Linked DNA regions of Kluyveromyces lactis. The protein of the gene in region 1 interacts with the protein of each later gene in a pairwise test. Links are inferred from orthologs where the notes say so. Each region holds a gene or a part of one and is shown in the gene's direction. Other genes may lie near its edges.

What was found.
Region 2: the proteins of SBA1 (region 1) and DOT5 interact in a two-hybrid assay, tested with the Saccharomyces cerevisiae proteins (2 studies listed by BioGRID). The link is inferred for Kluyveromyces lactis from reciprocal best matches to the Saccharomyces cerevisiae genes SBA1 and DOT5.
Region 3: the proteins of SBA1 (region 1) and PPT1 interact in a two-hybrid assay, tested with the Saccharomyces cerevisiae proteins (2 studies listed by BioGRID). The link is inferred for Kluyveromyces lactis from reciprocal best matches to the Saccharomyces cerevisiae genes SBA1 and PPT1.

What each region holds. Positions count from the first base shown.
Region 1 is NC_006039.1:1,238,167-1,248,021, reverse strand, and holds SBA1 (Hsp90 cochaperone SBA1), read left to right. Parts: upstream 1-3,474; coding exon 3,475-4,029; downstream 4,030-9,855. Other genes in the region: ubiquitin-protein ligase RKR1, read right to left, coding at 1-2,796; KLLA0_C14300g (glucose-6-phosphate 1-epimerase), read right to left, coding at 4,180-5,070; serine/threonine protein kinase PRR1, read right to left, coding at 5,407-7,032; DNA-(apurinic or apyrimidinic site) lyase APN1, read right to left, coding at 7,543-8,649; ATP-binding cassette transporter YOR1, read right to left, coding at 9,060-9,855. UniProt on the Saccharomyces cerevisiae protein: Acts as a co-chaperone.
Region 2 is NC_006040.1:1,214,675-1,224,733, reverse strand, and holds DOT5 (thioredoxin peroxidase DOT5), read left to right. Parts: upstream 1-5,968; coding exon 5,969-6,586; downstream 6,587-10,059. Other genes in the region: KLLA0_D14399g (uncharacterized protein), read right to left, coding at 1-244; SLG1 (Slg1p), read left to right, coding at 1,576-2,859; CUB1 (Cub1p), read left to right, coding at 3,310-5,076; APM1 (Apm1p), read right to left, coding at 6,829-8,160; telomerase subunit EST3, read right to left, coding at 8,451-9,005; KLLA0_D14201g (2-isopropylmalate synthase), read right to left, coding at 9,656-10,059.
Region 3 is NC_006038.1:949,787-960,847, forward strand, and holds PPT1 (protein serine/threonine phosphatase), read left to right. Parts: upstream 1-6,161; coding exon 6,162-7,700; downstream 7,701-11,061. Other genes in the region: AAA family ATPase VPS4, read right to left, coding at 1-844; ASN1 (asparagine synthase (glutamine-hydrolyzing) 1), read right to left, coding at 1,325-3,049; ribosome biosynthesis protein NOC4, read left to right, coding at 4,333-5,898; rRNA-processing protein RRP15, read right to left, coding at 7,857-8,618; KAR3 (Kar3p), read left to right, coding at 9,199-11,061. UniProt on the Saccharomyces cerevisiae protein: Protein phosphatase that specifically binds to and dephosphorylates the molecular chaperone Hsp90 (HSC82 and HSP82). Dephosphorylation positively regulates the Hsp90 chaperone machinery.

The sequences.
Region 1 (9,855 bases):
AGCGAAAATCGCATACATGTAAAGAGTACGTGGGACAAGCAATGCCTTGCTAGAAAGCAAACTTCTAGCAGTTCGCAAGAAGCCATCCATAATTTTATCAAACTGAGAGATAGAGAGATAGTCAACACTGTTGAGGCAAATTCTATAGATAATTTTGCAATTGTAAAAGGATGTGACCTCCGAAGAGTTCTTGTCGAAGAGAACAGTGAGAATTTCATTGCTTTGGTCTTCTGTAAATGAAGAGATCAAATCTTCGAAAGAGACATTCACACAGGAGGAGAATATGTTGTTTTCATGGAAATATGTTATTTGTTCATCGCTCAAACAATTATAATCAGCAGTTAATTCGTAGCATCTCGTTAAAAACAACAAATGCGAAGTACTGACTTCATCTGGGAACCGGGTTAAGATCTTATCCACAACTTGTGACAGTCTAATCAATTTCAAATAATCGACTAATGAAGCGTCTCCTTTAGCTGTCAATATATGTGGCAGTAAGCCTAAGGGAGAAGTGACGGATGTGCGTGTATCGATTTTATTGATGTATCTGGAAAACATGACTTCCAAATCTAAACTAATAAAAAGCCTGGTAAGTAAGGACTCCTGTTGTAGTTGAAGAACAAATTCATCAATGCTATCTTCCGTTATCAAGCATTCAACGGATATAGTATCGAGAACAGTCTTAAAAACAGCATTTGCAATTGTTTGGTCAGAATGTGCTGTAGTTGGTATTGTAACTTTTTGATCAACAATTAGACTCTGTGATAGAAAATCTGAATTTGATAATAGAGTTATATATGCTTCGCTTGTTTCTGGAATTTCGGTGCAATAATCTTTAAATGCCTTGACATGACCTTGCTTCTTAGAAGCTTCATATAACCTGAGTAGAAGAGAACCGTTTAGTATTTTTGATTTGAAAATAGAATCATCATCAAACTGATAAGTGGAGACAAAATCTTCGGTGAAATCCTTGTAGGATTGACTTGAATGCATGAGTTTTGAGAGAAATTCACTATTCAAGCGAGCCAAAAACGAAGGAATTGCCTTCTTTGGTGTTTCATATTGGGATAAAACCATTATAAAATCGTCAAAATACTGTTCCCAAGTAGAATTCGCTAAGAATGCAGAGTTTGAAAAATCTATCATCACATCCATTGGAATTTTGAAGAAAGCCTCAGAGACTAACGTGGGTAATACGTCGATAAAAGTATTAATCTCTTTGGTAAGGTTCAAGTTATTGGTTTTGATCAAGTTATCGTAGAAAATGAAGCCATAACAAGAAGGAAGATCGTCAGGATTTTCCAACTCCTCCAAAGATTTCATAACTTCAACGCTCAACATATGCATAGTTGTGATATCACTGGACAAAATGAGACAGGTATTGGATATAAGTAAGACTTCCTTTCTTTTTTCACCTTTACCCAAAGGAAGTAGATCAATGATTAGATCGTATAAAAAAGCATAGTTGATGCGTGTAGGTGATAACTCTAAAACAAGCTCAGGAATTTCCTTTAGGTCTTTGGTGGTGATAAGCCTTAAGATGTTAGGATGAAGTTGTTGAATGCTGTCTTGGTCCGATGATGAAATACTAAACTTGATGCAATTTTTCCAAGCCTCGATCAATGACTTGTATCCATTCCGACCTAGTACCCGCCGATCATTTTCATGATCGAGATATTTGATCCAGATCGAGAGCCATTCTTGATGTTCAAGTATGCTCGATTCAGCAGAAAGTTGATATGCCAAAGAGTAATATACTGGATCCGATATTCCAGGCCCCAATGAGAGGAATGTAAGTAATCGCTCTTTACTTTTCTTTTCATAAGACCAGAATTTACCATCTTTGTACTTGTTCATCTCCAACAACGTTTTCAAAATGTCAGGTAAAACAGATGATACTGAAATAAGAGTTTTTGCGTTACATTGTGACAACGACACGAGTAATTTCTTGGAGGCAAGTTTCAAAGCTTCCTTGTTTTTTCGATATAGTTGTCTAGACCGAAGTTCAATCATTAGATGTAAAAGAGACTGGTATCCCTTCAAATTTTTTGTATCTTTTAAACTTAGGTTATTCCAGAATTCTTCATCTGTGAGTATTTCGTGCAAAGTCTCCATTTGATCAGTGGTAAGTTCCTCGACACTAATAAGTTTAGTTAAAGTGCGGATGGATGCAATTAATAATTGATTATATCTCAATGAAATGTCTTCCTTTGTGTAATATCTTTCATCGGATATGGACTTTGCAGTTTCTACTATAATAACCTGTTTAATAAAATTTAAAATCTCTGAGGTGAATAGTTTCCATAATGAGTTAACTTTATTAGAGTCCTTGAAACAGTTGAGCAAACTATCAGAACATGATCTTCCAACCGCCGTATCTACATCGAAGAGTCCACTCAAAAGCATTGGGATAAGCTCTTTCAGAAACTTGGACACACGTTTCCCAAACTTCGCTATCAAAGTAGCAGTGAATTGATGTGCCTGGATTCTTATAGTCTTCGAATCAGACGAGATCAACTTTGCATAAATTTGGCACCATGATAGTATGAACATATCATCTTGGAAAATAGAGAGTTTATCGTCATCTTGTATAAAGGATAAAAGATCATTCAAAGCCTTTTCCTTGGTAGTATTCGCTCGCTTTAGTAATGACTTGAAACACAATTGCAAGTCAGTAGATTGAACGTTTTGCAATATCGGTAGACCATCGAAATAGTTCAAAGTTACTTTAACACCATTGTAGCCTAATCCTAAAGTTGATGAAGAGTCAGTAAAAACGTTAGTGTTAAATGACATAGTATTCAAATGACCGTTACTATGAATGGCCCGTATGAGTTACTGCTTTTCGGTTTGATCGAGACCTTTCGTTAATTGCTGATGATGTGCAGTAGAAACGAAATCTCAAGTACCTAATTTTTTTTTCACTTTCTTATATAAGTCTTGCATACGCATACAGCGGAGGGATATATACATATGAATATACTATACGCAGTACGAATGACCAGGATTAGCGGAAATTTTCCAGTTGCTAAAATTCAGAGGTCGAAGTTTCCCTTTGTTGAGGCGAAATCAGCTCAATCCTAGTGTGTGGATATATATACATATATATCACGTGACCTAGATGGTTTCTTGAAAGAACTTCGAAAGTCTCCAACCATCACTGTCTATAAATTGATCCACATATAGAGTCTTTGTAAGTGCACATTGCTAGCTTGGTATTTTTCGGAAAAGGATGTATGACTGGTGGTGGTTGGTGTTGTATCTTGTCTCTCTCTCCCATATCGTTAAATTTTATCTAGAAGCTTCCTGCTCTTCTGTTTTATATTTAAAGGTAACCTTGAAATTTGAAGCAGTTACAGAAAATGTTAATAACAAATATTGCGTTCACATACAAACTGTTACTCAAACAAAGAGAGTACAATTGGAACAAATTACACTTAAACCGCCAATTACCAATCAATAAATCAAATTAACATGTCAGTTCACACTCCAGAAGTTTTATGGGCTCAACGTTCAAGCGAATCCGATGATACCAAGAACAATTTGTTCATTACCATCAATATTCCAGACTGTACGAACCCTAAAATGGAATTAACCGAAAATTCTTTGGAATTCAGTGCACTATCTAAGTATCACAGTAAAGATGGGATCAAATACCATTTGCACATTGACTTCTACAAGCCAATTGATACGGAAAACTCGGAGCAGAGGGTAGCTAACGGTAGAAACTACTTTTTGGTGTTAAGGAAGAAAGATTTAGGCCTTGAATACTGGCCCAGATTGACCAAGGAGAAGCTTAAGTATCATTACATTAAAACCGACTTTGATAAATGGGTTGACGAAGATGAACAAGAAGAGAATGTTGCTGCTGATAACGACTTGATGTCACAATTTGGCCAAATGGGGGGCGCTGGCTTCCCTGGAATGGAACAAGGTTTCAATCCACAAGCCTTCGCTGACGCCGGAATCAACCTGGATGAGGCATTACCAGAAGAAGATGATGAAGATGACGAAGAAAAAGCTGAATAGGTATGATCGGATGGTCTGCAAAGGCGATTTCTATCAAGATTTAATTCATTTATTTGCTGTATACAGTCATGCGCATATATAGGTGTATAAATACGAACAAAAATTTCTATTATATATTATGATATTGAGCGGCTTTGAATAAAAAGCTATTTAGACCTTTTGGAACTTCAATTCATCTTTATACAAAATCTGGGAGGCAACCCAGTTTTCGCCTGGTGCCAAAACCACGAAATCATGAACATGACCTGGTTCGACACACACCATATTTTTAAACCCATCCTTTGGTTCAAAATCTGCCATACCTTTAGATTTTTCCACCCACGGATTCCAAACGACAGTATCTGGTAGGTTGTGTCTTTTCAAGGTATGGATTGGGTACCCCTTATCGATCACTTGGATGATTCTGTCTTCGTCAACATTTTGATAAATTCTATCTAATTCTTCATGCACAGAAATCACAGGTTGTCTGTCAATATAGCTTTCCTTCAATAGTTGATCGTACAATTTGGTGCTGCTCAAATTAGAAACCAACGTATCTTCAATGTCATCAATTTTCAAGTAAGTATGGAATAACCAATTGAACTTCAAATTTTGCGTAGTGCTTGTATTTAGTACCTCAATTTCAGTTTTCAAGTATTCATCACCAAGTTCTACTGATAGCACCAAAGAGTATTCAAATGGCCACAAGTTGGTTAGCTCTTCATTAGCAAACTCAGGTCCCAAGCCTAACTGAATGGTTGGAGGGTTAGACTTCACTTGGCCCAAAAATTCCCATACGGAATTTCTTGCTAAACCGTGTTGTGGTAATTTACTTAGATGTTCATCATCATGGTTCTTACCAAAAACTGGAAAAACTAATGGAATACCACCACGAACCGGTTTGGAACCATCGAGCTTAGCAGCAGTAGATAACCATAATTGCTCTTCACCTTTTAATTCCCAGGAAAATACCGTGGCACCATACTTTAGAATTCTTGCTTTTGTTGATGAATTGTTAGGATGTGTCAGGATGATTTCAGTTTCAGTTTCCTCGATAGGCATAGTTGTTATGTAGTTTTGATTGTCAATAGTAGCACCAATTACTGATCCTAGCTTCTAGTAGTCTTCTTATTTTCCTTTCTTCTTTTATCAATTTCATCAGTGAGCGTACTGTAACGAGATTAAATTTCGTATTCAAGTTAATTCTTGGATTTTTAAGGTAACAACATTACCTACATAACAACGTTAACAATAAATGAAAGACAAGCTGGCACGCAGAATGCAATAATTGAAGATCCTAGAAGGTATACTTTTAATGAATGTTCGTTGAGTAGAATATCAGGTTTCATTAGATTTTAATGTATGTTGGTTGTGTATATAAATGCTGATCTATATAATTTATCCTTGATGGTCTAAAAACTGTAATTTATCAATAATGTTACGAATATAGGGTGTGTTGCAAAGTTGATCCATGTTCCAACGTTCGCTTTTTCTTACGAGTGTGTTCTGGACTATCTCTTTGGCAGGATGATCGGTGTCTGCATTCTTTAGCCATTTCCAGTCGCATCTTGCAATTCTATGGGCAATGGATCGGGTTCTTCTTGAACTCTGACCAGGTAAGGGGTCAAACGGCAACCTATCTTCCAACAATGCATAAGTAATTACTCCAAAGGCCCAAGCATCGCTGATTCTTCCATCATACGGAAGTCCTAAGAGAATTTCAGGAGAAACATAGTCCTCTGACCCGCAACGGGTTGTACACATTTCATCTGGGGTTATCTTCTTACAGAGACCAAAATCTGCTAACTCTACGAAATTCTTTGAAAAGAACTGGCTCTCGTCCTCTTTTAATAACATCATATCATCTAGAGTATACTTTAATAAGACGTTCTCAAGTTTAATATCCCGATGAATGATAAAATTATCATGCAAATATTTTATGGCAACGGATAATTCTGTGATAATTCTGGTGAGTAGCCAGTTTGGAATTTTAGTTTTGCTAGCCAAATCGAACAAATCACCACCAGTGCAATATGACATTATCATATCACATCTGGGTAAAGCAGAGAGCTTACGCCTTCCGTACAATGGATGTTCATCTGTAATAAACGTGGTATCATTGATTGCAAAGAGTTTCACGATACATGGATGGTGCACAGAAATTAGAGTGGTCAGTTCCCGCTTCAAAGAACTTACAACTCGACTCAATAATTCTTTGTATTTCGGAGATGACGGAGATGAGCTCATAAGTAACTCTCTCGGATATTTAATGCTTTTAACTGCCACATATTTCAGTTCCGGATTTAAATTGATGTTCAAATTATCATCGATGCATTCATAAAGATAGACAGTACTGAAATTTCCTGACCCAATCTCTTTTATTTTAGACCATTGGAAGCTAATATGATTTGGAGTGTTAGCCATGTATCCCCTAATAATCGTACCATCAGCTTTTTGTTCATTTTCTTTATCCGATGGTACAGAAGTGATAACCTCATTGATGATAGTCTCTTTCTTCAAACTAGGTTTCTCGACGACACGATTATTTAATGAAATTGAACGCTGAACAGCAACACCACCACTACCATCGCCCATTGAATTATTTGGAATATATTCAGATAACATCCTTCCTTTTATTTTATGAGTGACATCACGATTCATGTAGGTACCAAGTTTTGAGAGCTCTTCATCGAGTACTTCCTCGTGAGTATCCACAGAAGATATCGTAGGACTTGGAACTCCAGAGTTACTGGCGCTATCTTTGTTACGTCTTTTCTCGACCTGCAGCCCGGCATCAAAACCCCCAGGTGACTTATTGACCCTAACTGGTGAAGTAAACACATTTGCCGTTGGAGTCGGCAACATACCAACATCGATTGCCTCTCTATTAAGACTCGAATTGATCTCCGGAAGCTGATTCTTGACCGATGACTCCGCATCTCCTCCTGCAAACTCTCTCTGGGCAAGCTTTGGTGTCTCTGTCAGCTGGACATTAGGTTCAGTTCTAGTATCCATATCATTCATAGCTTGGCAGATGGGTCCAGTTGAGCTCTGTACTTACGTTTATCCAAAAACAACAATTGCCCCACTTGTTCTAAAAACCTTCCAGTGAATATAATATTTCTGTGTTTGTTCTTTTCTTTGCTCTATTGCAAACAAAATGTGAAAAAAGCACCCTAATACAGTACCAAATACACAGATATTTGTAATGTAACAAGCTAGGTGAGTGGTACTTTCGAGCTTTGACTACCGTAGCGATTCCGAAAGAGTTAACAAAACAAACACAAATACTTCGAACCCATTTTCACGACTGAACTTATCTTAACTCCCTCGACCCAAAAAAATCAAAACTTTAAATGTTTGTGCAGACGATATTACGTCGATCCCTGACATAGGGTTGAACTTTTTTTTTTCCATAGATATGATAAGCATTCGCTTGTTGACCTCAATGTTGGAAGAACGAAAGAACTGCTGATTAAATAAAAAGGTTAAAATACATATGCTGTCATTATTTCTACATATTTAGGTGCAGTATTAAGACTTTGTTTTCTTTGTCTTTTTTGTCAGTTGTTCCGTGATAGAAGGTCCTTTCCTCTTAGTAGATTTAGTGGTCTTTGTGGACTTGTTCTTCTTATCAAACTTAGCTTGGAATTCTTTACGGGACTTTTCTCCTAGTTTATTCAATGCTAATCTCTTCTCGATGTAGTCTTTGTTTTCCTCTTCATCTATAGTTTCTAGCCATTCCAATAGTTTGATTTCTTCACCGTAGCCAGCGTCTTCCTTTTGTGGTGTCTCTAGTACTATCGGTATCCCCTGAAGGAATTCTGAGTGGGCAATGATCTTGAAAACTTCGAGCCCTAGGAACCCTTGTCCCAATATTTCATGTCTATCGGCGTTTGCTGCTAATGGGGCTTTTGAATCGTTCAAATGGATCGCTTTTAGATATTTGAATCCAATGATGGCATCGAACTTCTTCCAGAATTGGTCAAAGGCATTTTTTGTTGATATATCGTATCCTGCAGCATAAGTATGACAAGTATCTACACATACACCAACTCTGTTTTTATCTTCTATCATATCTATGACAGTTTTCAAATCTTCTAAGTTACTTCCTATCAAATTGCCATGACCAGCCATGTTTTCTAGAACAATGTTGACGAATTTCGTATCATTGATGGCTTTGTTAATATATCCTGCGAGCTGTTTCAACTGGGTATCATGATCCCCATCTAATGATGATCCTGGATGGAAGTTGTAATGACCAATTCCCAATTGTTCGCATCTTACCAGGTCATCGAGGAACGCATCGTATGCCTTTTCTGCCTTTTCATGATCTGGGTTCCCTAGATTTATGAAATAAGAACCATGCGGTAGAATATCAGTTTTAGGATCATAAGAAAGTTTTGCACAGTTCTCATTGAACTTGGTGATTTCTGATTCGGGATACGGTTTAGAATTCCATTGTCTTGGCGACTTCAAGAACATTGCAAACGAATTACAGCCAATTTCATGGGCATTGGTAACGCTGTTGGATATACCACCAGCACCGCTGACATGAGCACCGAATTTAAATTTGGAAGTCGTAGACCTGACAAATGACATTCGATTAGATAGGTATCGACGTGATGAGTAAGTCTCCATGCACTTTCGTATGCGATATTTCAATATGTGCAACAAGAATATAGACAAATTCAATTCTGATTAGATTTCTTCCTTTAAATATTTCCCATACTTATACAAACGTGCACTACGGTGAATAAGTGGAAGTGCGGAAGAGAAGAAAAATACATAGTATGCCGTAGACACAGGGAATACTATTCGAATGTTAGGAGTACGGTAAAGAAGATTGATGGTTTTGTAAAGTTTTATTATTGATTTTAAACTATGAATGATCGTTGTGGCTGATAGAAATTTTAGGCTCATTAAATATATAGAAAGCAGTCATTGCTTACCGAAAATATATGCTAATGCAAGTCTTTGGAAAACATGCTGTTCACACCAAACCAAACAACAAAATGTAATGCAAAAGAAATAATGATATATACAGGAGATTACTTTGAGTTTTCGAAGTCTGCAGGAACAATACCAGCACCGCGACACATTTCATTGAATATAGAGTCACGGTCATTGTACAATTTTTTAGGAGTGTCGAACTCAACGACTTGCCCTTGATCTAAAACAAGAATTCTGTTGTAAGCCAAGATAGTCTTCAAACGGTGGGCAATACATAAAATAGTACAGTTGGAGAATTCTTCCACAATACGAGATTGAATTTTGGCATCCGTTGCATAGTCCACAGATGACGTCGCCTCATCTAAAATTAAAATCTTTGATCCCCTCACAAGGGCTCTGGTCAAAGCCAATAATTGGCGTTCGCCTAAGGAGAAGTTGGAACCATCATCCTCCACCATCTGATCTAAATGGAATTTGAACATATCACCAGAAAGTCCATTAGCATCTTTGTGCTGCGCTCTGATGGAATCTACGTCTTTTCTGTCGATAGCACCCCCACGTACCAATGCATCCCAAAGTTGTTCGTCCGTACACTCTTGGAATGGATCCAAATTTCTACGAATATCACCCTTGAAAAGAACTGGATCTTGAGGAATGATTGCAAGTTTGCTTCTAAGCTCATATAAACCAAGAGTGCTGATATCAATGTCATCGATGGTGATTTTACCTGTCTTTAATTCCACTAGTCGGTAGAGCGCACTCATAATGGTAGACTTACCTGCACCAGTTCTACCGCAAATACCGATCTTTTCGTTTGAGCCAATGTCTATAGATACATTTTTTAGTGCCACAGGTAATTCAGGTCTATAAGCCAAGGAAACGTTTTCAAATTTG
Region 2 (10,059 bases), on another chromosome or scaffold:
CCTTTGGTGGAAGCACCCATTTCCTCGATAGCTGGATGGTGCTAGTACTGCCACTACCATTAGCAGAGCCACCAGAACCGCTGGGGGTTCCTGCGGCAGTAGCACTTTCCGTAGCATCAGCTGCTGCTGCTGCAAGCAGCAGTACCTGTTGGCCCTGACCATGGCCCTGACCATGGCCGTACTGCGAATGATGATTCTGCATCTGTGTGTGATACTTCGGCTTCAAATCCTGATACACTATCATAACCCATACCCTGACTCTCTAACAATTCTTATTAAACAGGGCCACGGGAAATCGATCCCATTACACTGGACCAAAACTCCTGTGAACAGCCTCATCTCAAACAAAGGTTCTTTAGTATACTCTTCAATTATATACAATATAATACATAAGATTGGCACCCTATAAAAAAGAAAGTTATTGAGAAAGTGAGCGAGACCGTGAAATTTAAACAAAAGATGATAGATAATGCGTCTCATTTCTCGATGTTTCCCATGCTGTGCTGGGCTGGCCTGGAACGGACCCTAATTACTCATCAGTAGGTACGTAGATATATCATCTTTTTGACACCTGGAAATATCCATTTGCCTCAAGGGCTACTAAGCGGATTTCTGAAATGGTATCGCTTTGGTACCGAGTGGTAACTGAGCAGAGCTAGAATAGACCTATGATTCTGCACGTCGTTAGGGAAAGAACTGGGTGTAGTGACGGGATGAGATGAGATGAGATGAGATTAGAGGGTGGGTTTTGCTGGTGAAACTAACCCATACACCACATACTAATATTTTTGCAATGGGAAAAGTTCACGAGCCACAATTGGACGTTACCCGGAATACCAAACTCTTATCCGGGTAACTGAGTCACGAGGCATCGCGTCAATATATTTATATGTATATATATGGCAGTGGTACACATATATACGCATATATACCGGGCTGATGATACATATATAACGACATACTCACATTTTCCATGGCCATCAGGTCTCTAATAGTCCCCCCCCTCATAATTGTCCTGCGTTACCGCACAAGCTGTCATTGTAATCCCTTAAGCATCGGTGTCATTTATTAATACCTATGACAGTAGAATTTAATATTAAATAATACACATATCACGCTACGCAACATTTTACAAGGTGAAGCTTGGCCATGCTCATATTAGACAACGGATAATGGTCCAAAAACAAGTCACAAGCACCCTTCTGGGTGCTTGTCCTTCCCCAGATACATACTGAATTAGATAAAACCTGGAACAGAGTTCTCTTAGAACATGGAAAAAGATGAAAAAATTGGAAACTGGCTGAGATTTCGATATATTCAAATGTGCAACAAGACGTTAACAGAGATCCAGAAGTCGAACAGAAGGGAAACCCATCGGTTCGGGACTCTTCAGTGCCATACTTGTCTTCTCCCTTCAGCTACCGTGTGTGTGTGTGTGTGTGTGTGTGTGTGTGTGTGTTTATACAGAGTGTACTTTATCCTGGTGAGCGAGAAGGAAATAGACAGTAATCATTTTGTATAATAGGGCAGAAGAGGAATTCATAAACAAAGAAAGAGGTCTTTTTGGTGTATCCTATGATTCAAGTAGGACGATTTTTTGGTTATGGAAATAATGGAGGGCTCGCTAGCGAGCCCTCTTTTAAGTACCGATTTGCTGGATCAAATTTGGGAGTTTCCTCGAGGAAACTCCCTTTACTGAAACTTTTCGTTTCAGTAGTTCTCATACACCTGTGGTTCACCACACCGAATTCACGATTCGGTGTATATGCACTCACCGAGGTTGGATGTTTCAGTTCGCTTCCCTCGTCATTTGGTGACGGTAGCACTTATGAATTTCAGTCTAGTGCGCATTGTGCTTCAGAATGTTCCGGATCACAGTATATGGCTTTATACAACCATGACGAATGTTTCTGTGGTGACGATGATCCTTCAGGATCCAGTTCCACGTCCAGCAGTTGTAACGCGTATTGTTACGGTTACGGCTCTGAAATGTGCGGTGGTGAAAACGCTTATCTGGTGTACGCATTGAGTGATAGCACTTCTTCGGGAGGTTCGAGTTCAAGTTCGAGTTCAAGTTCGAGTTCAAGTTCAAGTTCAAGTTCCAGTACCAGTTCTAGTTCCAATTCAGGTACTACGACGACACTGGCCGGTACTTCAAGTGCGGATAGTAGTACACAAGCGTCCATTACAAGTAGTCCCTCTTCAGCAACGGACGGTAGCAATTCGTCTGGGGACGATGAACCAAGTGTCGTATATTCCACATCCATTAAAACCGTAAGTGGATCAGTACAATACGTGACGACAAACATCGTGACAGCAAGTTCGACTTCGGGATCCTCAAGCTCAAACAACAACAGCAATTCCTCCTCATCGAAAAAGACACAAGTTGGGCCCATCGTAGGCGGTGTCGTTGGAGGTGTCGTGGGTCTGGTTTTGGTAGTCTTGGCTGTCATTTTAATACTAAGACATATCTCAAGAAGAAGAGAGGACGAACGTATGGAAAAGGAATACCAAGAGGCTATCAAACCGGTGGACTACGATGAACATAGAGATAACTACTTTACTTCCTCTGCTTCAGATTACATGCACCCTGGAGACAGCGATGGAAGTGGGAATGGACATGGACTCGATACTAGTATCGCTACAGCAACAGCAGCGGGAGCTGCTGGTGCTGCAGGAGGACTGGGATCCGGGTTGGGACGAACGCCATCTTCTGGAATACCGTTATCAGAATCCCAAGGAACTGTGTCTAACCCATTCGCCGACTCGAAAAGAACCAGTAACGGTTCACTTTTCGATTCACCCGACCTGCATCATGAACAACAGAATAAACTTACCGTTGTTAACCCGGATGAATAGATCTACATACCCACACTTCTATCTAATCGTTTTCCAATACCATACCATACTTTAGTCATACATACCGCTCTCTTGTTCTCATTCCATCGGTCGTCTGTGCTCCATAAAGTCGTTATTCCCGAGAAACTGAAAGTTACCCTACTTTCAATTCTTTCCCCCCAATAATCTTTAGCCGAGCTAATTTCAATATGACAAACATTCAAAGGATTTAAGTATAAAGACATACTCTTGATGGCAACGAAATTGGGTTCAGACCGATCCGGTGGCAACAGACAAAGGGACTTAGACGTTTTAATTGTATTGTTTCGTATACACAAAGGATTTACAGGCATTTACAACCTAGATACTAGAGTTTAGTTCTAAAATATCAAGCCAATAAAGTAATCATAGAATCAATTTGTTAAGAATTGTACCAGTGAGTTAAAGAGAAAGAGAGAGAGAGAGAGAGATATGTCCGTTAATTCTCATCCTATGGCAGTTCCTCATGAAGAGGAGGAAATTCTGACTTATTTCCTTGATGTCCGGTCGTTTTTGTCAAAGATGAAACAGAATAGATCTCAATTCCTTAACTCTAAGGATGTTATGGACACTTATCAGAAAGTGTTGACAAAAGTCAGGGAGTTGGATGAATTGCGTAAGAATTCGCATGCTACTCCTTCAAATTCTGCCACTACGCTGATTCATAGTTCGGAATTGCACAATAGAGTCGATTCTGTTATCGATGATGTTTTCCAGTTATTGTCATTGAGTTTCTTGACCGTTGGTTTGAAAAATTCAGCTCCAGCAACTTATGCTTCGCTCTCGACCGTGCAGAGCTTGTTGGAACATTTAAACGAATCGAACGTTTATACCCATCACGACTTAAGACCTATTAAAGAGAGACTTAATGAGGTCAGTGCCATCGTGGAACAAAACAAGTATGTTAGTAATAGCGACACTCAGAGCGTAAATGCAGATGCAGATGATATAGGAGAATTTGCTTTGCAGAAAGATGAAGAGTTGAACAAGAATAAGATCGAAGAAGATCTGTTGTTAAGAGCCAAGCTAAAGCATTGTATCGACGAATATAACGCCATCGAGTCGAAGTTAGAAGAGATCCATCCGGACTTGCAATCTACCATGGAGGCATTGTTCCAAATTAGAAGAGGTCTACTGTCACTGGCATCTTCTACAAAGAGGCCTCATCAGAAGCAATTGGTACCGGATCCGGCTGTTCTTTCGGTGGAAAGTGAGGCATCGGAAAAGAAGAATGTGTTACCAGATCAAGTGATCGATGAAAAATTGAAACAGCTACAAGAACAATTGGAGAAGTTAGAATCTCATCGTGATATCAACGGGAAGTTCAAATCTTTGGAGACCGATAAAGTCGAAGAAAAAGGCCAAAACGTTCTAAACGGTTTATTAGACGATTGTCATGATTTGGTAAATGATTTGTCCCATCAAAAGGATGGTGGTATCTCTCTCGACACCAAGTTGCAACCTATCTATGATCAACTAGTGGACATCAAGACTACTTTGGAAAATTTGTTAGTAACCAGAAGATGGACTCTAAGAGAAACTGATCTTTTCACATACCAAAAGAAACTAGGAGAAATCGATAACTTGAGAGTTAACGGTAAATTCCCAACGGACCACCCTGATTCTAAGGGCCAATCGATTTTGTTGTACTTATTGCGTAGGTGCTACGCCATCATTTATAAACTCTTAGAATCATCTGAACCGGTATCTGAATCTTTGCAAAGAGTTCATAACCAATTGTCAACAGTACGCAGATGCCTATTAGAATTGAAAAGAATGGGTGGTGTAGACAACGACCGCGAATTGTATCCATACCAGATGAAGCTAGCGTCCTTGGACAATATGCGTGTTGATGGTAAATTCTACGATACAGATGGTAATATCCCTGAAGGTCAAGGTACTCTAAACGCCTTGCTTGCCGAATGTTTCGATATCATTCATGAATTGAAGATCGAAGCTGAGGAAAGAGTAGAAGAAAGAGTGGATATACATGATGACGGTGAAGAATCAGTGGAAATGACAAAGGATCCAACCATGAGAGACGTCCAAGAACGGCCAACTGCGAGATACATGGACGTGTACGCTCATGATGACGAAGGTAATGATGATGACGATGAAGATGATGCTGATGATAACAACTTTAGTGAACATAGTTACGACGAAGAAGAGTATACAACTACCAGTTACGCGGATGATTAGAATATGCCAACGGCAAAACAAGATTAACCCATAACTGGAGAGAAAAAAAAACATTACCGTGCTGCTCTAATCAATGCGATCCACACAAGTGTATATTATATTGGACCTATTCCTTTATTCGTTATCTTTTTCCTTTCATCATCATTATTGTTCATTTACTATTTTGAAAGCAAGCAAAGCTAATAAAGTAAAGATGTTTGGACCTAAACACCATGTTGTTCTATGACACTCATCACAAAATTACAAATTATTTCAAACATACACGATGCATACACTGTTCTTCCACTCACAGAAAAATATACGTATATATAACAGGAAACACTACGGGCTAGTCTCCATTATCTATTGTTTTCTCATACCAATTCTAACTTTTTAATCAAATCTATTTCTTTTGGAAACCACAATTTACTCGGACCACCTTCTCTTGCTAGTGTTATACTGTGATTGTTTTATTCGACAATGCTCTGAATTTGACCGTGGACTCTGTTATATACAGCTGGATATACTTATACAACTATTAAAGATAACGGTAATTTTGCAGCCATTCTTGGTGACAAGGCCATTGAATAGTTGATTGTTGCAATGAATTTTTGGTTATATTCCCAATTGTTATGTAAACGTAATTGTAGTTCTTAATTTAGCAGTTGGCTGTATTTACCATTCGAGAAAATGTTTCTTGTAGGGCTTTTCACTCGAGTGTTTCTTCGCTTTGTCTTCCGTCTTTCAATCTTTGAAATTGCTTGTTTGCCTGTTTTTGAACGTTCGAACCTTTAAAAAGAGCAAAACAGGAAAAACGCACCTTCAACTGTACCAAATACGCCCCCCATATCATATCTTTTAATCTGCCCTAACTACAATCATCGACTTATATTTTTATACTGTTCTGTGAACTATGGTTGAATTACGTCGTTCTAATAGAATCTCTGCTAAGAAAGAACCTTTAGATTCCGAATCTGCTGAACCCATCAAGGTAAAGGCAAAGACAGAATCAAAGGTTACCAAGCCAAACGGAAAAAAAGAGGTTAAAAATGAAGATAGTGCCAATAAGCTAGCTGAGTTGCAAATTGGTGATGACATTCCTGATCTAACTCTACTAAATCAGGATGACGAGCCGATATCGTTGAAAGAAGTTGCCTCCAAGAATAAATTAGTGGTGTTCTTTGCTTATCCAAAGGCCAGTACACCTGGTTGTACTAGACAAGCGTGTGGCTACAGAGACAATTATAGCGAATTGAAGGAACACGCTGCTGTTTTTGGACTAAGTGCTGACGCTCCAAAGTCTCAGAAGAGTTTCCAAACTAAGCAAGCCTTGCCTTTTGATCTATTAAGCGACCCTAAACGTGAATTTATCGGAGCTTTGGGTGCTAAGAAGACAGCTGTTTCTGGTGTTGTCAGATCTCACTGGATCTTCAAGAACGGTAAACTAGAAGTGAAGAGGGTTCAAGTTTCACCTGAGGTCAGTATTGAAGAAGGTAAGAAAGAGGTTTTAGAATTGGCCAAGTCTTTATAAAACCCAGTGGCTAACATAGTTACTGACGATCGATTTCTCATATGTAATAGTAAATGTCAAAGGATTTAAACATAATTGAGAATGGAAAAAGATTTATATTACTATATACACACATAAGATCAGATTGAGTAGCGTTTCTCTCAAGGGCGTTTCATTTTTAATTGCAAATGAATCTTTCTCCTCATATAAGCACTGATAGATTAGAGTAGGATGGCCAGAAATTCTTCAAATCATGGTCACTTTCACAGCCTGATGGTGTAATCGTCTCCGCTCTGCGTAATGTAACGTACCCAAGGATAACTATTATACTGTAGCTTTGGTTCTTCGATTTTCAAATAACGAACTTGAATACCGGATGTTGTGAAATAAGGAATTTGGAATTTGATTTGTACTGGTCTTTTTAATTTTGGTGGTTCAGCATCAGAGACTGAGGGCAACCCCAGTTGCGCAGCCATTGAGTACTCTTTACCACCTTGGAAACTACTAAATTTCCATAGAATTGCATTCTTTTCAGGAACCCACTTGATATTACCACGAGAATATTTGAACGTGGGCGAATCTGCGTCTTCCGGAATCGGTATTAAAATCTCCACATTATTCGCTACTGACTTCTTTTTAATTTGTGCCTTTGCCCTACAGTGAATCTCGATACGAGACCCTGAATGTACCTGTACCTTAACGTCACACCATATCAAAGGTTTGATCGGGGTAGAGAGTCTATAAGTCATTAGATCAAATTCCCCATCAGGTGGGATGAACGTGATAATCTTTTCATTCTCAAACTTGCTCAATCTCACACATTGATGGAATTTTAGATCCTCAAGTTCTATATTACTATTCTTTTTCTTCGAAGAAACTACAGGTTCAGGTGAATCTTCTTGATCATTAGTTGTGAAAATACCTTTATCATTCAAACCCAATTTCAAATCAGGCATACCAGATAAACGGGATCTAACTTTGACAGTACCCAAGATCTCAGATCTTAATACTTGGCCCTGCTGTGTCATTAGCATATTGATCGATTCGATTACATCCAAGAACGCTTCGTTCTTCTTGTACTTGATACCCTCTGGTCTCCAACTGACAGAATTGGTCAATTCGGTTGGTGGTCTAGCCACATTCTTTTGCTTCTTCGCTGACCTAGTCAATTTGAATGACTTCTGAGTAATATACTGTTTCAACATTTTCGTTTCTGTCACTTGCGGAACGCCTTTATCCATCATTTCGTCTAAAAGTTCGTATATGATAATATAATTATCTCTGATTGACTCTTCTTCCACCCTTTTCACGTACTCCTCAACTACATTGATCAACTTGTACATGAAGGCGAACATAGTGGTAGCATTAACGGATACTGACCTGGTCAATGCTAGCACGTAAACATCGTTATACTGCACGTACATGTAGTGAATCCCATTGTGATGGAAACAAGGAGGCATGACACTGCTTTCCTGTTCTCTTTCTAGTAACAAATGCTGGAACGATTCGACAGCAGACTGTGAGACATCATCTTGGTATCTTCTCGAGAGTAGTGGCTTACCCTTTGAATCACAAAATGCAACGTACGAAGCCATTATACTGGTATCTTTTTAAGAAATGTTGCCTCCTGAAACTCCACCAAAGAAAGAGCAAAAAACACACTAGTGATACTGCACAATTGGTTACTATACAGGGTCCTATACCGATATATTAGTGTACGGTTTGGCTATTACTTAGATTGTTCATTGTTCAGACACTATTTATAAATGTAGTTTCGAGATTTCAATGCTTTGGATACCGAAATTTCACTTATTTACAGCGGTACACCACATACACGAGGTGCTAAATTGCATCTAACAATGCGAACACTCGGCAAGAGAGACCTTCAACCATGAAGTGTGTCATATACCCATTCAAATTGGACATTGGACGAGATCTGGTCTCTGTCAAACATCCGGGCCTTTTCAATCTTGAGCACGGGGACCATTCGAAGTCCAGGAAAATCCTGATTGAACCATAATTTGCACTCTCTGTGGTTCCAAAACTGTAGGGTTACATTGCCGATGACGAACAACGTATTCAGTGTATTCAATGTGATCCTATCATTGTTTATAGTTTCGTAATCTAGCACGCAGTCTACAGTGAAGTAGCATAGAATTAATGCTGTAGAGTCTCTAATCGTTGCATAAACGGTGTAATCGTTTACTCTATGGAATTTAACAATTCTGACGAACCTCTGAGGTGCGGGATTCAAAGCCGTTTGGAAAGCTGACTCTATGATATCATGTTCTAGTAAGTCCGTTACCAGTTCACGTTGTTCTGGCCAGAATTTCGTCTTTTCATTCTTTAAATAATAAGGCCTTACCGAAGGTTTAATCCATTCCTGCAAGAACACTGAATCATTATTCGTTAATCTTGAAGAAAGTACAACATTGGGCATGTGAGGATTGATAAGGTTAGAGTCTCTGTTCAGTGTATGTTAATAATGCTTCTCTGTTTCTGTACTACAATGGGTTTTAGGATGAGATTGTACCTTGATACAAAAATGTAAAAAAATTCCTCCGCGACGGGGAATTGAACCCCGATCTCGCACGCGACAAGCGCGAATTCTAACCATTAAACTATCGCGGAATAGTAAATTCGATGAGAGTTTATTGGACAAAATCATAATCCACGTGGCAAAAGTAGTCATGTGACTAGCTATGCAAAAATGTTAAAAAATGAAACGGACAGGAATTGAACCTGCAACCCTTCGATTGCAATTTTGTTTCCTTGGAAAATTCCCAGAATTTAACTGGAGTCGAAAGCTCTACCATTGAGCCACCGCTTCATTCTTGAAACATTTACGACAAGAATAGAATATAACCGACTTACTTTTGTCATGTAAAAGGGGCCACAGATGACACAATAGGTTCTGGTAAATATGCTTTACCCACGAGCATGGCCATAATAGAAGAAACATGGGAATGCCTTTGGAAGCTTTTGTTCATGTTTCATTATTGAAATAAATATCGGTATATCTCATTGATTTATATATATATATATATAGTTCAGATATGATGGCGTTTATTTCCATACCGCATGGGTAGATCAATTGGCAGCTGAATTGACAGTGAAGTTCTTTGCCCTATCAAGACCGTTTATACAAGATAACAACGCCAAGAATGAAGCCAGAGTAGTATCCTCATGAATACCAACACCCCATTGAACAAATCCTTCATGAGAGACAGAGATATAAGTAGCAGCTCTCGAATCGGAACTCTTACCCAAGGAATGCTCATGATAGTTTTTCACATCAAGATTAGTTTTGAAGTTTTTATTCACAGCATCGATGAAAGAAGAGATTGGACCGTTACCAGTACCTTCCAAATCCCATTGAGTAGTTCCATCTGATAGCTGCACCGAAAGAGTGAAATTCTCCGGAGATTTGTCATATTTATAGTCGATAAACTTGAATTTACCAGTAGTTGAATGAGATCCAACGAAATACGATT
Region 3 (11,061 bases), on another chromosome or scaffold:
TTCTAATAGCACTATCCAACTGCCATGGGATATTAGTTGCTCCTAGAACTAAGACTCCACTGGAATCATTACCTACACCATTCATTTGAACCAAAAGTTCTGTTTTTATTCTTCTGCTTGCTTCACTCTCTCCCTCTCCTCTTTGCCCGGTCAATGCATCGACTTCATCGATAAAAATGATGGACGGCTTGTTCTCTCTTGCCATGGCAAATAGTTGTTTGACCAATCTTTCTGACTCACCCATCCATTTCGAAACCAAGTCACTGGAACTTATGCTGAAAAAGGTAGAGTTGGCTTCTGTGGCAACAGCTTTCGCTAAATAGGATTTACCAGTACCTGGTGGACCATATAACAAGATTCCAGTCGTAGGCTTACGTTTACCCTTAAAAAGATGTGGGAATTTCACTGGAAGAATCACAGCTTCCTTCAATGCTTCTTTAGCACCTTCTAAACCAGCGATATCCTCCCATTTAACGTTAGGCTTTTCTGTCAAGATCGCCCCTGATAAGGCTCCTCTTAGCTTTTTATCGTCTGCATCGTCCTCTGTATTGGAATTGCCACCTGAACCAGAAGCAGTGGCTGCCTTTTTTGGCTTTTCTTGTTTCTTCTGTTGTTCTGTTTCCAAATGCTCCTTTAATTGTTCTGCACGATTCAGATACTCAGTGAATTTTGCTCGAATTAAGTCCTTAGATTTGGGGTTCTTCTCATACTTTAATGCTAGCATCAAATAGTCTAATCCATTGTAATATGCGGTGTAAGCCTCGTCATATTGCGTAGCTGTGTCTAAATCAATGGCTTTTTGTATTAAATCAATTCCCTTTGTTAAAAAATCACCGGTGCTCATATCAATGTAAGTGCTGTGAGTAGTGAACACTAAATTGTAATCTTGAAGCCGTTCTACAATTTGAATGGCTATGGTATTTCGAAATCACTATGGAGCAGGAACAGAGGGGTAAACTGAGTCACGTATCAGTCGACACACATTTAAGGCAGTACGTATCTCTATTATAATAGGCTTTTTGCAATTACTTGGGAACATCAACATAAGAAAATGTATTTGACTATGCTTTATCAAATCACGTGATTAATTACAATGTCTAATGAAATGTTCATCTACAGCACTCTTCGGATACTAGCAGTCGTGATCCTAGATTGCTTATGAGAGAGATGCCCCAGTCATATAATAGAAGAGTCTCACACTAAATATCTTTTTGCCATTAACGTTAAATAAAATAGTATATTTGTATCGAGGAAGTACTAATTCTATTTAATTATTCTGTACATATTTATAAGATTTTATAACAGAGACATTAGTAGAGTGATCTTATTTTTTATCAACGTGTTGTTCGTGGATCTTGGCGTATCTACCGGAAGGATCTTCAGCACAACCCCAGTCAGCCTTTGGAATCCATCTCATGACAGTGGAAGCAGCGGTCTTTTGTGGGAACAAAGCATCGAACTTCAATCTGTACCAGTAGGCTTCCTTGGTAGTTGGAATATCGTCACCCCATTCAGCCTTTGGTTGAGCGAATTGTTCATCAGAGATAGTGCTTTCAGCTGCATCCTTTAGACCATCAATCCAAGAGTAACCGACACCGTCGGAGAATTGTTCCTTTTGTCTCCACAAGATTTCTTCTGGTAAGTATGGTTTCAAATCTGGTTCATCCGTGGTATCGAATGCCTTTCTTAGAATGTATTTTTCGATCTTACCTTCAGCTGGTTTGATCATCTTGTCGTTTGGATCAATGTTCATACATAGTTGTAGGAAGTCCCTGTCCAAGAATGGAACACGAGCTTCTAGACCCCAAGCCATGGTAGATTTGTTAGCACGCAAACAATCAGCCAAGTGCAAGTTCTTAACTCTCTTGACAGATTCGACGTGGAATTCAGCAGCTGATGGAGCTTGTGCGAAGTATAGATAACCACCAAAGATTTCATCGGAACCTTCACCGGACAAAACCATCTTAACACCTTGAGCCTTGATCTTACGAGAAAGCAAGAACATTGGGGTGGAAGCACGGATAGTAGTGACATCGTAAGTTTCTAAGTGGTAGATAACATCGTCCAAAGCGTCTAGACCTTCCTGTAAAGTGAAAGTATGTTCGTGATGGATAGAACCGATGAATGTAGCCACCTTACGAGCAGCTTGTAAATCTGGAGCGTTTGGCAAACCAACAGCGAATGAGTGCAATCTAGACCAGCCAGCAGCATGTAGATGACCTTGTTCGTCAAGCCCAGCCAATTGATGTGGGTCACTGTCATAAACAACTGGATCAAGTTCGGCATTAGTTTTTTCTGTTTCTCTTGCGGCAATAGCAGCAATCAAAGAGGAATCCAAACCACCGGACAATAGAACACCGTAAGGAACTTCAGCCATTAATCTCTTTCTAACAGCCTTTTCCAAACTTTCTCTAACAGCCTTAAAGTCAACTGGGGTGGTTGGAATTCTGGATTCGTCCAACCAGTCAGGAGTGAAATATCTGGTCAATTTGTCAGTTTCAGAGTCGTATACGTGACCTGGTGGGAAAGCAATGATTTCATCACAGTCATCGGTCAAACATTTCAGTTCACTGGAGAACCAAACAGACTTTGGAGAAGCAGAGGATCTACCCATGTAAAGAGTGGTAATACCGATTGGGTCTCTGGCAGCGATGATACGATCCTTCTTAGAATCGTACAAACACCAAGCGAACATACCATCCAAGTGTTTTGGAGCATCGATATCGTACTTTTCGTATAATGGAATGATAGGTTCACAGTCAGACAAAGTCTTGAATGGATAGCTTGCACATTCTTCTCTCAACATGATATGGTTGTAAATTTCACCATTGACGGCCAAAGTGTAAGAACCATCTTCGGAAGTGATTGGTTGGGCACCAGAGTCCAATCCGACAATAGCCAATCTTTCGTGAACTAGAATAGTAGAGTTCTTAACAATGTTACCTGACCAATCTGGACCACGGTGTCTGATTCTCTTGGATAATTGTAAAGCTTTTGGTTTGTAAGCCTGAACATCAGGGTTTCTGAATGAAGCAAATATACCACACATCTTGGGTCCTGTTACTTCGTTATTCTGTATATCTAATTGATAAGAGCGAGTAAAAAACCAATACTAATACAAAACAAAGATCCTAACATAAACATATAAACAATTCTTATTACAAGCGAGCATTAGTTTTCTTGTGATGAGCATCAATTCTTTATACTTTTTCCAAAATTTTTCACCAGAGCTTGAATCGCCGTATTCTTTTTTCTTTCGAGATATTGAAAATGACTCAGTATCAATTGCATATCAAAAGAATATGACAAAGCAGCAGAGAAACGAAAAGTAACGAAGTGAAAATGAAAATTGGTGCCAGATTCTAACTCTGATTCATAGTTGATTCATTTGTTCCCGCTCCGACTTGTCATATTCACGATACCATCGTATCACGGCATTTTTTTCTATCTAATATTTACGTTTACGTTTACAGTTAGTTTAGTTTTTGAAATGAATCGCACAAGGCGATTCATATTAGCAAGAAGCAAGACTCAAACACACAAACTCACATCAAGTCTATACATGGGATGACCTTCCCAAAAAGAATCAGAATTTTATAAAAAGTGTCCCAAATCATTCAAAGAATGTAACAAGATTATAAGGCTTGCGAGGGCACCACATTCTCCATTAAAACCATGAACAGAAAATAATTCCCATCCACGAAAGAATTGTAAGAATTAAAAAAGCGCAAATAGTATCATCGTCTTCTTTTAAAACTTGGAAGGTCATGTGGATTTAAGCCCAAAAAGAGTAATACAAGTAAAGCCTATCAAAGTTACATCTCTTCTACATCACCAATTGTGTCTTGTAATTTCTTGGTTCATAAATCTTTCTCTTATATATGATGAAATTCGGGCTAGATCATTTTATACTAATCGTTGAAATTTGTATGCTGTTAGGGCTCATAGGCTGCCGTGAACTGGAGGATACGCACCCCCTGAAGGAACGAGCATCAGTGTGCGTATTCAAGGTGATGCAGGCAAGACTTGACTGACAACAGAATGGTTTACCACTCTAAATTATATATTTAATGTCGCCATTGATAGCTAGTTTATTAGGAAATGCGATCACGTGATAAGAATAATTTCTTTTCAATTGTCTTCTACATTGCAAGAATCTCTGAAAAATTTGGAATCAAGAGATGAGATGAGATGAGATGAGATGAGATGAAGTCGAATAGGAAACGTTAAGGTAGGATATTCTCACCGTTATAATCTGTTTGATTACTCGCAATAAATAATTGGAATTCACATATAAAAGTTTCCCAAGGATTCAGACAGCGATTAACCAAGATGCTCTCGAAGGAAGAGATTAAGCAAGTTTGGAAGTCTATTAGCACCGGCAATGATAGAAAACATTACAACTCGTTGGTGAACCTAATCCATGGGTACAATGAACTTCTAAAGGAAAACGAATTGTTGCACAATTTGGAAGATGATTACCGTTATATGACCATTGCTTTGAGTCAGATTTTCATCAAACTTTTTGAGCGTGGTCAATTGATGCCTCATCTTGCATCCAATGCCAATGAAAAGAAATTCTTTGAATGGTGTAAGAAACTATATTTAAATTATAAGGTTAAGTTATTGGCTATCATTACATCTTTGCATGAAGTTAACTCGTTGAGTTTAGATTGTTTGGACTCATATATGAAAATGCTTCACCATGAATCGATATATTGGGCTTCGAAACCAAATAGTCCTTTCTTTCCAAATAAGACTTTAAGATCGTTACTAGTGGCTCTTTTCCATTGTAACTTTGAAGGTGATATCGGTTTCAAAGATGGTCAGAGCGAGAATCCCGTGTTTAATCTATTTGTGGAAGCCTATTATAAGAAGAATTTCGATATTCAATTCTACACACAATCAGAACTGATATCGTTGTTACCAGAACTTGATGGCCAAACATCTGACGAAATTTTGATGTCTAAATGGTTGGCTTTATGCAACAACGATGTTCAGGGATCACCAGACTTGGAAATATTCGTATCTGTGCCCCCACAAGCCATCGAGAATGATGCTAAGTTTAAATCCAACCTCGAAACAAATTGGTTGCACTGTCTAAATTTAGCCAACTTATCCAGTAGCCAATATAAAACTGTGCTTTTAGTGCTACACAAGAGAATTATAGTATGGTTCCATCAACCAACAAAGCTTATGGATTTCCTTACCGACTCTTACAACCAAGGTGGTATCGTTTCAATCCTTTCATTAAATGGTTTGTTTGAACTTATGAAAAAATACAACCTAGAATATCCAAATTTCTACTCAAAACTATATCAGCTTCTAACTCCAGAAGTAATGCACGTTAAGTACAGATCAAGATTTTTCAGATTAGTGGACACCTTTCTATCTTCTACACATTTATCCGCACAACTGGTAGCGTCATTCATCAAACGTTTGGCACGTTTATCCGTATCGGCACCACCAGGTGCTATTGTTTCTATAATACCATTCGTGTACAATCTAATCAGAAAGCATCCTACATGTATGATTCTATTACACGATCCAGAATACATCGACTGCGATTCAAAGAAAAGGCAAGAATATCTAGATCCATTCAACAATGAAGAAACCAATCCAGAACTTACAAATGCTCTTTCCTCCTCAGTATGGGAGCTAGAAACGCTAATGAATCACTACCATCCAAACGTAGCCACTTTAGCGAAGATTTTCCAACAACCTTTCCAAAAGTTAAGCTACAACATCGAAGATTTCTTAGATTGGTCTTACGATTCACTTTTGCAAGCAGAAACCAATAGAAAGCTGAAGATCCAACCTGCTCTTGAATTCGAAAGGTTTGAAACAATTTTCGAATCAGGTTCTGATTCAGCATTCCTACCCTTCATAAAATGGTAAATACATAATTTCAAGTAGAAAACTTAAGTAGTTCAATTCCAAATTGAGTACTTTCTTTCACTTTCGCAAATCTCTTCACATTACATCTCATCACATCGCCGTAATATTGAAACATCGAGATGAAAAAAATCAACAAGTCAACATCAAGAAGAGAAAGACTCACATCAGAAAAAACTTTAAAATGGGCTCCGTTTATCGGTCTTGAGGACTTAAAGGCACATACCATACCAGTTGGCTGCTTTTTTACCACTACTATTGAATAAATGACTGAGGAAGTGAAAGCCTGTAATCCAGAGAAAGCCTTAGAGCTGAAGAATGAAGGTAACAAGTTCGTGAAGGAGAAACTGTACGCAAAGGCAGCTGAGTATTATACAAAAGCCATCGAGCATGATCCCGAGAATACGATCCTATATTCAAACCGTGCGTTCACCAACCTAAAGTTGGATAACTTCCAAAGTTCTTTAGACGATGCTAAACGTGCAATTGAATTGGATAATAACAATTTGAAAGCCTATCACCGCAGAGCTATGTCTTACATTGGGCTACTAGAGTTTAGAAAGGCAAGGAAGGACTTGATCATTGTGTTGAAATTCAAGCCTAACGAGCTCACTGCAAAAAATGCATTAGCAATCTGTGATAAAGTCATACAGAAGGAGAATTTTGAAAAAGCTATTAGCGGTGGAGACTCTTCTAAAGTTGATTTATGTCAAACTTTAAATATCAGCTCATTCGATGCAAATGCCGATCTCCTCAAATATGATGGTAAAACCTTGGAATTCGAACAAGTGAAGTCAGATTCTGGGGCCAATGCTGGTGTCAGAGTTAACAATATGAACCAGGAATTCATTTCTTATATGATTAATGAGATTTTCCTAGAAGGTAAAAAGCTTCCAAAGGCTTACGTTGCAGCGATCATTTCTCATGCAGACTATTTGTTCAAGCAAGAAAACAGTGTTGTTGAACTTGATAACAGAGAAAAGCCGGATACAAGAATTTCTGTATGTGGTGACACGCATGGTCAATTTTATGATGTTCTGAACATCTTCAAAAGTTATGGGAAAGTAGGCGGCTCCAATGTATATTTATTCAATGGTGATTTCGTAGACCGTGGATCATGGTCTTGTGAAGTGGCCATTTTATTCTATTCTTTGAAAATCGTGTATCCACAGAACATTTACTTGAACAGAGGTAATCATGAAACCAACAGCATGAATAAAGTGTACGGGTTTGAAGACGAATGCAAATACAAGTACTCCCAGCGCATTTTCGATCTTTTCTCACAAAGCTTCGAATCTCTACCATTAGCCACTGTCATCAATAGTTCATACCTGGTCGTGCATGGTGGTTTGCCAAGTGATACTTCTGCCACTGTAGAAGATATGAAGAAAATTGATAGATTCCACCAACCACCAAGAGAGGGAACATTTATGGAGTTATTATGGGCGGATCCACAGGCTCCGGATGGATTTGGACCATCTCCTCGTGGCTTAAGTAATGCGTTTGGGCCTGACATTACTAGAAAGTTCTTGAAACAGAATAATTTAAAGCGAATCTTCAGGTCTCATGAAGTTAGACAAGGCGGTTACGAATTTGAGCATGAGAATCAATTGGTCACTGTTTTCAGTGCTCCTAACTACTGTGACGCCGGTGGCAACCTCGGTGCAATCATTCATGTTGTTCCAAACACAAAATCTGAAAAGAAATCATCTATCGACAGCGACTTGGTAATAGAAACTTTCTCTGCTTCACCACATCCAGATATTAAACCAATGGCATATTCAAATGGAGGGTTAGGATTTTGATCCCTCATCTGACCTGATCTGATCTTTTTTCGATAAAGTTGTAATTAATAATATTATTAGTCTATTATACAGTCTTTGGGATTACCTATATATGTACATAGTTTTGCGCTTTAATAAATGCAGATGATTCCCTCTATCATATAGAACTTCCTCTTTTCAACTGTCACCAGCAGTTTTCACCAAATCAAAGAACTTCTCCTTGGAAACCTCCGTTATCAACTCTTTTCTCTCTGAACGGTTCTTCACACCACCCAATGAGTCATTGATTTCCTTTTCAGTCTTAACCTGAGTAGAGAGAATTGCATTGAATAACTTCACAACACCTTTCTGGGCAATCTTTCTTAGTTTACGTTCCTTCTCAAGAATTTCTCTAATTTCATCCGAGTTTGCGTCTGCAGCCACAACAGGTATAATATCTTTCTTTCTAGTCTTATTGAGTAGTTGTTTCTTCTCTGTGAGTATAGCTCTCTTAGCCTTTTGCTCTAACTTATCTGCTTCATTTTGCTTTAAAACTTTCTTATTCCTAGCCATAATGGGATCTTTACGGTCGTATGCTTTCAAATGCGATGATAAAATATTGGTTAACGCGCTGGAAAATGTGGATGATCCATCATCGTGTTTGGATTTGGAAGACTTCTTCTTTCTTGGGAAGTCATCGTCATCTGGTTGGTTCACCACATCTTCATCGTCACTGTCTTCATCACTGGCGTCATCACTCGACACTTCATTTAGATCCATTTCATCGTTATCTATTTCGGAACCTGTACTGCCTTCAGAATCCACATCAGAATCTACTTCATCAGCCAATTGTGATACTTCATTCTCTTTGACTTTCGTTTGAGCCCTGATCTTTGCAGACTTGTCATTCAACTTGCTCTTTTTGGTGACAGGTATTGTCACTTTACCCTTGCTACTCATAGTATTTTCAGGCGGCTATACAATACAAAGCTGTCCACTGCACAATCTACCGGCAAGTTAACCTTCTATTGAGATAGTGTGAATTCAATGATGGATCCTAAAGGCCCAGATACAGTCTTGAAAGCGATGAGATGAGTTGTGCTTCACTGAAATTTTTTTTGGCATGTTCACTAACAAAAAGAAATACATTCTATCAACACACCCATACACCACTGCAAATTTGACGTTGGTGGAGCCGCCGTCATAAGAAACTTGAAGCTGAACTCTCTTACTAGCCTGTGGTTCCCCGACTGTTGGGTTTATTGGAGTGTGGTGTATCTGTAATGGTTCCTCTACTTGTTCAAGCTACCCAAAGAAGGTTTGTTGTGTACTGAAGCCGGTTCAGTTTCGAAATATGTCACATATACTAGTAAAGATGTAAACAAATAATAAGATCAACCGAAAACAAAACAATCTTGAAACACCAAAGGAGACATAGCAATTGAAGAACGTATATAAACCAGTACCGCTTTGGAAAAGACGTGTAATAAGGTAGTGGGTTTGACTAAATTAAACTGGTTGGCTGATAATCAAACGGAATATGAATGGACCGCCGTCAACGCCAGAAAGATGTTCATCGAAGGACGGTTCTAATATACCTTCTCCAACCCAGCAGGGTTCAAGTTCACCAAAATACAAACCAAGGCAGTCGATAAGATTGAATCCAGAAGATGTACAGAGTATAAACAGAAGAAGGTCTCTCACGCCCAGTACTGAAAATAGAAGCTCAACTCATATGACATTCTTTTACAAAGAAAACCTGAAAGAACTGAATAGATTGCAAGAAGAGTTGTCCAGAAAAAAGATCAAGTTGAATACCGCACAGGATGAGATGAACTCGTTGAAAAGCAAAGTGGAAACTGTAGAGTTCAAAATGAACAATTTGAAAGAGGAGAAACAAGTGAAAGTACGACAAATCGGGTTAAAGCAGAATGAATTGAATAGCATGGATCAAGATCATGAATTGAAGTTAGAGTTTATGAGAAACGGATTTGATCTAGAAATAAAGAAGATAGAGGGAAAATACCACTGTGAAATGAATGAAACAGAGTCGAAATTCAAATTTGAAGTGCAGCAGATTGAATTTGAAAAGATTCAAAAGTTTAAACAAGAAAAGGAACATTTATTGAAGGACATACATAACTTAAACGATGAGGTAAATAATAATGACAATGTCATTAACCAATTAAAGGAAGAACTTGATAAGAAATACTCAAATCTTAAAGAGAAGTGGATGGTAGAGTTTCAGACGGAATGGAAGAATATCACAGAAGCTAATCAGTCCATGATTAAGGATATCAACAAGTTAAGTCAAGATATAGAAAATGACATGACTAATGAATTGGATCAATCTAAAGACAAACGTAACATTTTAGAAAAGGAGCTAGCAAAATTGGAAGAGAAGCTTAATGAGAAGAATGTATTCAAGGAATCTATTACTGTGCAAATAGACACTGTCGAAGAAGAAATAGAGCAAACTATCAGTCAACGGAAAGAACTCAATGAGTATATCACTAATTCCAAAAACGAACTTTTACAAATCAATGAAATACTGATAAAAGAGGAGACAATGCGTCGTAAGCTTCATAATGAACTACAGGAGCTGCGAGGAAATATCAGAGTATACTGTAGAATAAGACCGCCTTTAGAAAACGAAGTGCAGGATATATCGCACATTCATGTATCTAACTTTGATAATAGAAATGGATCGCAAGCAATAGAGATAAGCAATGAAGATAGGAACAGCAGATTCTTATTTGACAAAGTATTCAGCTCTAATGCATCAAATCGAGACGTTTTCGAAGAAGTTGGCCAGTTGATTCAGAGTTCACTGGATGGCTATAATGTTTGCATATTCGCTTATGGTCAAACTGGTTCTGGAAAAACTTATACTATGATGAACGATCCTGATGGTGTAATACCAATGACATTAGATCATATCTTTGACTGGACGCACCTCTTGAAGGAAAGAGGATGGGATTATTCATTTGAGGCTCAATTTATCGAAATTTACAACGAACAAATCGTTGATCTTTTGAGATCTTTAAATCCCGAACCAGGTCCGACAAAATACGAAATACGACACGATGGGGACTCTCAAAGAACCTCAATTACCAATGTCACGTCCATAAAACTAGAAACACGTGCGAGAGTGAATACTGTCTTGAGAACAGCTAATAAAACGAAGTCGATTGCCGCCACAAATTCAAATGAACGCTCATCAAGATCACATAGTGTGTTTACCATTAGAATCCATGGAACTAATAGTATTACTGGAGAAGCTAGTGATGGTGTCCTAAATTTAGTAGATTTGGCGGGATCTGAAAGAATTGATACTTCAAATGTTACAGGTGACAGACTTCGAGAAACACAGAACATCAACAAATCATTAAGTTGTTTAGGC